Arabidopsis thaliana: one gene and its partner. The protein of the gene in region 1 purifies or fractionates together with the protein of each later gene. This does not show direct contact. Each region holds a gene or a part of one and is shown on either strand. Other genes may lie near its edges.

Region 1 (5,933 bases):
TTAAATATGGTTTTGCAGAAAAGGTTTCGGGCTTTTATAGGGCTGGCCCTATTATACTACGGTTCTGTTCGTTTCTCCATTTGACAGATCCATCCAATTGATCCATTCAACATGTCCATCTAGATGATTCATTCGACTCTTGTTCGTTTTATTTTTAGTCGGTTCATTTGACTGGACCATCCGAATGAGATGTTGTTCGTTTACTTATCTCTATCTCCATCCAAATGATTTGCAATAATACAAATACCTAAAATACCCATGCTTTCATCTAATTCTTAATCTAAAATATATTTAAAAGTAAATAAATTTCAAATAATAGTTTTTTATATTTATAAATTTATTTTACGGTTTTGGCGGGAAAACGTGATTTTATGATTTGACGGGAAAACTCGATTTTACAGTTTTGGCGGAAAACAAAATTTTACGTTTTTGGCGGGAAAACGTGATTTTACGGTTTTGGCGGGAAAACGTGATTTTACGGTTTTGGCGGGAAAACGTGATTTTTGCGGTTTTGGCGGAAAAACACGATTTTACGGTTTTGGTGGAAAAACGTAATTTTTTGGTTTTGGCAGGAAATCACGGTTTTACGGGTTTGCCGGGAAACCGTGATTTTGCGGTTTTGGCGGGAAAATAGAATTTTACGATTTTTGCGAGGAAAAAATGATTTTGCGGTTTTGGCGGGAAAACGTAATTGTACGGGTTTTGCTGAAAAACGAATTTTACGGTTTTAGCAAAAAAAATGATTTTGCGGTTTTAGCAGAAAATTTAATTTTTTATTTTTTAAAAAATAATTGTAAAATAAGATTTAAATCTATTTATTTATTTTATCTAAAAATACATCTAAATAATCAATTGAAATAATTAGGGTATTTTTGTCATTTGTTATTTTAGATTGAATCATCTCCATCCAAATGATCCAATTTAGTTCAGTCAAATGAGTTTCAAAATTTAGCCTAAATTTTCAAACTCATCCAGATGATTCATTTGGATGGATCATCTGAATGAACCGTTTTTGGCACCAAACGAACATCAAAACTCATCTCCATCGAAATGATCCATCTTACTGATGAAACGAACATGCCTACAAACTTTTTTTTTTCTTCTTTAACACTAAACGACGACGTCTCTTTTTTTTTTCTTTTTTTTTTTCTTTCTTCTTCTTCTTCAATCTTCTTTCTTCGATCTCTTATTTTTTAAACTCTCTTCTTTGATTGTGAGAAGCCATAAAAAAAGGTTCGATATCTCTCTCTTAATCTTTCATCTTTCTCATTTTTCTATTCTCATAGATTGATATATTCTCTATCTTTGGAATCTGATTCATAGGATTGGGGTTTAATGGTTTTCGAAGAAATCTGGGTTAAAGTGTGTTCGTGTGTTCTCTAAATTTGATTCACTAAACGTGGGTTTCGAAAAATTGAATTCTGTGTAGCTATGATCTTGTGGCATAAGGCAAACTGATTCCTGAAGTTGGAACATCGTTCTCTGGTTCAGTAGAGAACCGACGAACACCCTTCCCCATCTCCGACGATGTTGTTTTTCTGCTTAGGACACAAGTTTGTTTTGTTTTTTTTCTCTTAAACTTTCATACTTTCACACACTCATAAGTTTACACACATTACACATATATATAGGAGATTTCTTCTACTCACCATACCCACTCTCTTAGACCTTAAACTTAGTCACTATTTAACCTTACTTCTAGACATTAGACTTAGGGATACAAGCAACCTTACACAACCTTACCTTAGCCACTAACAACCCCAACTACTCTACCTCAAGTACTTAGCTAGAATAAGCTACTTCTACGAATGGGCCACAACAAAACATACTTCACCACTTTGGGCCTACACAACTTCATCAGCCCAATAAGATAAAACATAAAACCCACTTCTCTTGTCTTCTTCTTCTTCTTCTTCTTCTTCTTCTTCTCACGTCTCTCTCTTACGTCGTCTTCTTCTTCTAGTTTCCAATCTTCTTGTTCTTCATCATTGTTGTTTCCTTCTCACTGATGTTCTTCTTCTTCTTTGCAGGATCAATCGGAGAGTTCAATCTCAACAGACGACCATACCCTCGATACAGTAGCTGCTCCGCTCATCAACGTCCATTTCGCCGCCTTTAGCCGTCAACGTTCTCTGGTTCTGTTGCCGTACAAAATTCTTAAAGGTCGCGTTTTTATGTAAGCGTAGGGTTTAGTTGTCGTCCCGCTCTTTTTAATTAGACTTTGTTAATTTAATTAGGTTAATTAGATAAGACCTAAAACGGCGACGTGTAAGCTGTCGTCTTCTTGACCTTTTTGGTGAACTCCTCCTTCCTCTCTATCGGCTATCGCTCGCTGCGTCTCTGTGTCTTGTTGCTTGGAGCAAGCTCTCCAGCGTGAGTTAATCTAATCTCTGTAATGATTAATTACCTTCTTTTACGGTTTCTGGAATTGCATCTGTGTGTGAGCACTTGGTTTGAAATATGATTTAACTAGTGAATTCGATAATGCTGTTCAATAAGAATGCTTAGAAAAGCCTTAACTGGGTTTTACTCACCACTCTTCTTATTGAATCTAGAAATTGAAAGTGTGAATTTTTGCGAGTTCTCTTATTCAAACTTCACTGCGAAAGGTGGAGTTTTTCGTCTCTGTTTTCTCCCTAATTCTTATAGTTTGAGCTAATGGTGTTAATCAGGCTCAAGAATAGATAAAATAAAATTATGGATTCAGATGCATGGGAAATTATCCATATACCTGAAAAGCCTTCATTGTCACCTGACCATCAGCCCACTGGTATGATTCAATCTCTAAGTTTGGTTTTTTAGTCTATCAAAGGTTCTTTATCTAAACTTCTTCTTCTGTGTGTGTGTGTGTGTTGTTCTTGTTGTTCACAGTGAAGGTATATGCTAGCCTAATCAAACCCAGATTTGCCAATACGATAGTGAGGTTTGTCATTCTTGTTTCGACTCTTGACTCGTTGATTCCAGTGCTGTAATCTCATGAGTGAATTTTTTTACTTTGCTATGATAGGCATTTATGTAAGATTGCTCCTCTAGAAGATCTTCGTCATGTTAAAAGGGTGAAGAAGAAGATTCTGCCAGATTGCGGTATCCCATTGTTAGTTTTCTTAGCGCGCTGATACACCAATCATAAGATTATGAGGTTTTTATTGTAAGCTTATTGGACAGGTGAAACTCAGTTGACTGTCATCTTATGTCTAGCACCTGAGCACAACGATCAGTTGAGTGACATGCCACCTGATGTGCAGAGACTCGTTGATCCCTATGAGTTGAGTCCTTTTATTACACAAGTAGGTTATTTTTCTCTTATCTCACCACTATTTGCTTCAAGGGTTTTTGATTCATTTAGCTTCCAAGTCAGAGATTTCTTTCTGCTCATTCATTTATATTTTCAGTGCAATCTCATATTTCTGCTATAACTATGATAGGTATGCAAATATGCTGCGGTATCCAAAGAAGAGTGGGAAGAACAAAGTAAGATATGGCCTACTTCATTTCATCCACCAACCTAGTAAGCTCCATGTCTAGAATCAGTTTTGTGACCAAAAGAGTCTTTATTATCTTTCTGGTCTTTTTATTATATATGCTTTAGTCGTTCTAGAATAATCTTATTTCTTGATGGTTTCTATTGGTGCTCTTATCTGCATTGTAATAGCAATATATGTCTTTGTTTATAGTGCAACAGTCAATGATTTTTTACTTTTTGCATTTGGCAATGATAGCAATATAGATGGCATCGGTGGGTTCAGCGAGGAGGAAACACAATCAATCTGCAAGTTCATGAGAGTTGTTATTGATATGGCAGTATCTGGTCATACACCAGTAAGTATTTTCCATTGATCTACATAACGTCGATATCAAGTTTTAGACAACAGACCATTCATTTTTCATGTACCATTTGCTTTTTTTAGCGCCTCAATCCTTGTTCTCTTGGTAGAAAGATTTACCATCGTTTCATTACATAGAAAATGATCTCAATTTACCACATTTCTAATGTACTTTTCAGCTTGTGAATGCTGCAGTGATAGTTGATCCTTCAGTTAGGCGAATAATAGCTAGTGAAACTGATCAAGTATATGCATCATCTGCTCCTCGTGACATGACTAGCGCAGAGACCAGGCCCTTCGAGGAAACAGGGGAAATATGTTTAAATGACACACTTGAAAAACAGAATGGTTCATTGTCTGCTCTTTCTTGTCTGAATCCCTGGCAATGGAGTTTGCAGCCGCATGACACTGAAAATTGTAGCCAGTGGCATCCTCTTAGGCATGCTTCCATGGTTGCCATTGAATCCTCTTCTGCCAGAGATAGAAATCTGTTTCCCAATCCATCCAAGATTTTTGATCAGGATCATGTTCCGCCCTCAAATACAGATTCTCCGGCTAAAAAGCAGAAAACAAGCAGTCAGAGTCCAGACGTAAGTTCATTCCAACCAAGTTTTTTAATTTCCTCCACATGCTTTGACTAGTACAGCATTCTCTCTTACACTTCTGAGTTATCGATAGGTCCAAAATGACAGCAGAGAAGAGACTGTTAGAGATCCTTCAATGGAAAGGCCGTACCTCTGCACTGGTTATGACATTTTCCTCCTGTTGGAGCCTTGTACAATGTGAGTTTCTACATACATATTACCCTTTTAAACTCTGCAAGTGTGTGTATCTAATAAAGTCGTGATATGTTCCCAAGGTGTGCTATGGCGCTTGTGCATCAAAGAATAAAACGGATTTTCTATGCTTTTCCAAACACCACGGCAGGTGGTCTCGGGAGTGTTCATAGACTTCAAGGGGAAAAGAGTTTGAACCATCATTATGCAGTGTTTAGAGTTTTGCTGCCTGATGACGCACTTAGACAAATGACCACGGTCTAATGCATTGTTGTAGTCGATTGATAATCAGGTTCTGGGTGAGAAAGCTAATTCTTTGTTCTTGTTCATTCCAAGAATCTGGAATCTTATTGAATTATTATGTAGACCAAAAACTTTCGACTTCTATTACTGTGTATGGCTCAGTACTCTCTAGTCAGAAACTTGTGTTTTAGAGAAACAACAGAATGCAAGAAACGAACCGTCACTAACCAATCCTCACATGAAATAATGCATCTCTACTTACTGTAGTATCAGGTCATTGCATGGCCCAACTGAAATCATTCTTGCACTGCGCTCTCTTAATCTAACAACAGAGGATTGACGATTGCCGCCATTCGAAAATCGTCATTAGCTGAAAGACGAAAGAGGTTGTTATGAGGTAAATGGTGATAATCTCAAACTTGGTTTTCAAAGTTATAAGCTCATCTGATCGCGCAACACGTGTATATTTGTATGTATTAGATTTTGATAGGTGAAAAAAAAATTATGTAACAATAAAAAGTCTAGATTAAGACCTGTGTATGAGTGTTTTAAAATTATAAATTGTACTAAATTTAAGAAAAAGGGTTGTTTGTATATTTGTTTTTGCCTTAATACACTAATTTGCATTTTGATATTTTAAATTTGTTGTAAAATTTATTACAATAATCTAGTAAAGTTAAATTATCAATATGTTATTAGATCAATGTTAGAATCATTTTACAATATTCATATTGTAAGATTTGCATTTCAATATTTTAAATTATTGTAAGATTGTATATATATACACTTATTTATAGCCTATAGACATTTATTATTTCTTATTCATAATTGTAAACTAAATTATTAGTGTTAATTTTTATTTTGCCACAATTAATGTTAGATCTAAAGTTTAAAATCCAAGATTATATCATATTGTACATTTGTTTATTTACTTTTCATTATTCTAAAGTAGATTAATAGTGTTAAATCTCTCTTTTGCCACAATTAATGTTAAATATAAATTTAAGACTCCAAGATTAGATCATTAATTTCTTTATATATTGATATAAAAATCTAAACTAAGAATTATCATCGTACGAAAAGAATGGAG
Region 2 (4,151 bases), on another chromosome or scaffold:
GCCTTTATCAATCAACTTGAAGTTATTTTACTTGGTCGTGTTTTGAGGTCAAAGGTCTTAATCCACTTATTAATTAGCCATTTGATTGGTTGTATATAAAATTTTTTGAATTTCCCGTAACAAAATATATGTACTAATACATAGGTAACTATTTCAATAAGAAAAATGTGTTCGATAAAAATTTTCAGATAAGTCCATATTTTGTAGTGGGTAAAAGTATCCTTCTTTGTGCATTTGGTATTTTTAAGCATGTAATAAGAAAAACCAAAATAGACGGCTGGTATTTAATAAAAGGAGACTAATGTATGTATAGTATATGATTTGTGTGGAATATAATAAAGTTGTAAAATATAGATGTGAAGCGAGTATCTATCTTTTGACTTTCAAAGGTGATCGATCGTGTTCTTTGTGATAGTTTTGGTCGTCGGTCTACAAGTCAACAACCACCTTGAAGTTTTCGCGTCTCGGTTTCCTCTTCGCATCTGGTATCCAATAGCATACATATACCAGTGCGGAAAATGGCGAAGACTAGTGGGCTTGAACCATAAGGTTTGGCCCCAATACGGATTCCAAACAACAAGCCTAGCGCAGTCTTTTGGGATGCATAAGACTAAACTGTCGCAGTGATAGACGTAAGATATATCGACTTGATTGGAATCGTCTAAGCTAATAAGTTTACCTTGACCGTTTATAGTTGCGTCAACGTCCTTATGGAGATTGATGCCCATCAAATAAACCTGAAAATCCATCACCATGACCACCATAAACTCCCTTGCTGCCGCTGCTTTGGCTTGAGCAAGGTGTTTCCTTGTAAAGCTCCGATCTTTGGATAAAGTGTTCCACTTTTTGCAAGTAGCTCTGACCCCTCTCAGAGATGTCACCGGAATCTTAGACAGAACCTCCTCTGCCAAATCACTTGGAAGATCGGACAATGTCATCATTTTTGCAGGTAATTTCTCCTTCGTTGCTGCTTTGGCTTGAGCACGGTGCTTCTTTGTAAAGCTCCGATCTTTGGATAAGAGCGGATCGGAATCCTCTAGGAGGTGCCAGTCCCTTGACCTATTAATTTATAGAAGGTTTTAGTGTATTTTGTTCCAATTTCTTCTCTAACTTAACAAATAACAACTGCCTCATAGTCATGGGCTTCAAATTTTATCGCTTGGTGTATTTCGTTATTTGCAAGGCCTTGGCCCATTTTGAGCCCAATAACTAAATCTAGCCTTTTCAGACCGGACATGAACTTCGCATATTGGCGTAACTGTGCAGTTTTACCTTTTTCGGATCAGACAAGATCAGATTTAGACCACCCAACAATAGTCAGTCATATTTGACAACCTAAGCTAGCCGACACTACTAAAAAGCAAACAAAAGAAGAATTCTATGTTGTCATTTTACCGGTGGCAAGTGGACCCTTCTATAAAAGAGTAAAGAGACAGCCTGTGTGTGTATAATCTCTAATTATGTTCACCGACACAATCACACAAACCCTTCTCTAATCACACAACTTCTTCATGATTTACGACATTAATTATCATTAACTCTTTAAATTCACTTTACATGCTCAAAAATATCTAATTTGCAGCATTAATTTGAGTACCGATAACTATTATTATAATCGTCGTGATTCGCAATCTTCTTCATTAGATGCTGTCAAGTTGTACTCGCACGCGGTGGTCCAGTGAAGCAAATCCAACGGTTTAAAACCTTCTTACATTTCTAGATCTAATCTGAACCGTCAGATATCTAGATCTCATTGTCTGAACACAGTTAGATGAAACTGGGAATGAATCTGGACGAAATTACGATCTTACACCAACCCCCTCGACGAGCTCGTATATATAAAGCTTATACGCTCCTCCTTCACCTTCGTACTACTACTACCACCACATTTCTTTAGCTCAACCTTCATTACTAATCTCCTTTTAAGGTATGTTCACTTTTCTTCGATTCATACTTTCTCAAGATTCCTGCATTTCTGTAGAATTTGAACCAAGTGTCGATTTTTGTTTGAGAGAAGTGTTGATTTATAGATCTGGTTATTGAATCTAGATTCCAATTTTTAATTGATTCGAGTTTGTTATGTGTGTTTATACTACTTCTCATTGATCTTGTTTGATTTCTCTGCTCTGTATTAGGTTTCTTTCGTGAATCAGATCGGAAAAATGGAATCTTTTTTGTTCACATCTGAATCCGTCAACGAGGGACATCCCGACAAGCTTTGTGATCAGATCTCCGACGCTATCCTCGATGCTTGCCTTGAACAAGACCCTGAGAGCAAAGTTGCTTGTGAGACTTGTACCAAGACTAACATGGTCATGGTTTTTGGAGAAATCACCACCAAGGCTAACGTTGATTACGAGCAGATTGTTCGTAAAACATGCCGTGAGATTGGATTCGTCTCTGCTGACGTTGGTCTAGATGCTGACAATTGCAAGGTTCTGGTTAACATTGAGCAACAGAGTCCTGACATTGCACAAGGTGTTCATGGTCATCTCACCAAGAAGCCAGAGGAGGTTGGAGCTGGTGACCAAGGTCACATGTTTGGGTATGCTACTGATGAGACTCCTGAGCTCATGCCTCTTACTCACGTTCTCGCTACTAAGCTTGGAGCTAAACTCACTGAAGTTCGCAAGAATGGAACTTGCCCTTGGTTGAGGCCAGATGGTAAGACTCAAGTCACTATTGAGTACATCAACGAAAGCGGAGCCATGGTTCCTGTACGTGTCCACACTGTTCTCATCTCAACACAGCATGACGAGACTGTGACTAACGATGAGATCGCAGCTGATCTTAAGGAGCATGTGATCAAGCCAGTGATCCCAGAGAAATACCTTGATGAGAAAACCATCTTCCATCTCAACCCATCTGGTCGTTTTGTTATCGGAGGTCCTCATGGAGATGCAGGGCTTACCGGCCGTAAGATCATCATCGATACTTATGGTGGTTGGGGTGCACACGGAGGTGGTGCTTTCTCTGGAAAGGACCCAACCAAGGTTGACAGGAGTGGGGCTTACATCGTTAGGCAAGCAGCTAAGAGCATTGTAGCCAGTGGGCTAGCGAGGCGGGTCATTGTGCAAGTCTCGTATGCCATTGGTGTCCCTGAGCCATTGTCTGTGTTCGTGGACAGTTATGGAACAGGAAAGATACCAGACAAGGAGATTCTTGAGATTGTGAAGGAGAGTTTTGATTTCAGGCCAGGTATGATCTCCATTAACTTGGATCTGAAGAGAGGAGGTAATGGTAGGTTCTTGAAGACTGCTGCCTATGGTCACTTTGGAAGGGACGATGCTGATTTCACCTGGGAGGTAGTCAAGCCACTCAAGTCTAACAAGGTCCAAGCTTGAAACCTGTCAGCCTCTGTTTCACTTCTGTCCAGAATCAGTCTTGTTCTCTGTATTTTAGGCTCTTTCTGCCTCTTTAGTTTCAACTCTGAGATGGGTTTATTCATTTTGTTTTCAACTTTGAAGAAAAAAGCTAAGCAGCTGGGAATTTATATAATTATTTATATGGTATTCTTGTGCTAAGAAAGTTAAATTCATAATATGTATTTCTTACTTATTTTGAGAAGAAAATCATATAAGAGAATAATATTCGACATTAGTCTCCTTTGTTTGCATTATCAATATCAAATATTTTGGCTTTGACGAGTCCTTAAACAGAGAGGCAAGTGAGACTTTATTGTAAGAGTTAAAACATGATGAGATTAGATTGCACTGGTGATTCCATGAACGCATACATCAGCTTCAACAAGACATACATCTTTGAGCAACAGACCACTGTTTGGCTGCGTGAAATAAACCATGGATACATATTTCACCCATCCATGCTCCGAGCTTGATCGACTAAACCATTTAGTAACTGTAAACCAGAGAACTTACAGATCAAGAGGTGAACACATTCACATTCATATAACAAGTATGTGATTGAGTTTGCGGTGTTTACCCTTCCCGGCAATGTGTCTGCCTTGTAACTGATCAAATATTCGAATTGTAAACTCTACAAATATCTTTGTACCATCTGAAATGGTTTCAGGATCAACAAGGGTCAGATAGATAGAAAGATGGGTTCCTGTTCCTTGCTTTGTTCCCGTAGGATAAAACTCTATCTTCCTGCATTAGTAGTACCATTTATTAGCTTAAAGCTACGGTTGC

The links.
Region 2: the proteins of EMB2820 (region 1) and MTO3 purify together in Arabidopsis thaliana (affinity purification with mass spectrometry, with the first as the bait; one study listed by BioGRID). This does not show direct contact.

What each region holds. Positions count from the first base shown.
Region 1 is NC_003076.8:8,446,183-8,452,115, forward strand, and holds EMB2820 (Cytidine/deoxycytidylate deaminase family protein), read left to right. Parts: upstream 1-1,771; 5' UTR 1,772-2,163; exon of another isoform or gene 2,164-2,237; 5' UTR 2,238-2,373; intron 2,374-2,672; 5' UTR 2,673-2,697; coding exon 2,698-2,770; intron 2,771-2,871; coding exon 2,872-2,923; intron 2,924-3,007; coding exon 3,008-3,084; intron 3,085-3,153; coding exon 3,154-3,287; intron 3,288-3,425; coding exon 3,426-3,508; intron 3,509-3,719; coding exon 3,720-3,819; intron 3,820-4,003; coding exon 4,004-4,414; intron 4,415-4,502; coding exon 4,503-4,606; intron 4,607-4,683; coding exon 4,684-4,864; 3' UTR 4,865-4,899; exon of another isoform or gene 4,900-5,110; 3' UTR 5,111-5,387; downstream 5,388-5,933. UniProt on the Arabidopsis thaliana protein: Involved in RNA editing. Catalyzes the specific deamination of adenosine-34 in several cytosolic tRNA species. Generates inosine at the wobble position of the anticodon loop.
Region 2 is NC_003074.8:5,951,677-5,955,827, reverse strand, and holds MTO3 (S-adenosylmethionine synthetase family protein), read left to right. Parts: upstream 1-1,736; 5' UTR 1,737-1,927; exon of another isoform or gene 1,928-2,135; 5' UTR 2,136-2,162; coding exon 2,163-3,344; 3' UTR 3,345-3,641; downstream 3,642-4,151. Other genes in the region: AT3G17400 (F-box family protein), read right to left, coding at 384-941; AT3G17380 (TRAF-like family protein), read right to left, coding at 3,704-3,858, 3,943-4,109. UniProt on the Arabidopsis thaliana protein: Catalyzes the formation of S-adenosylmethionine from methionine and ATP. The reaction comprises two steps that are both catalyzed by the same enzyme: formation of S-adenosylmethionine (AdoMet) and triphosphate, and subsequent hydrolysis of the triphosphate.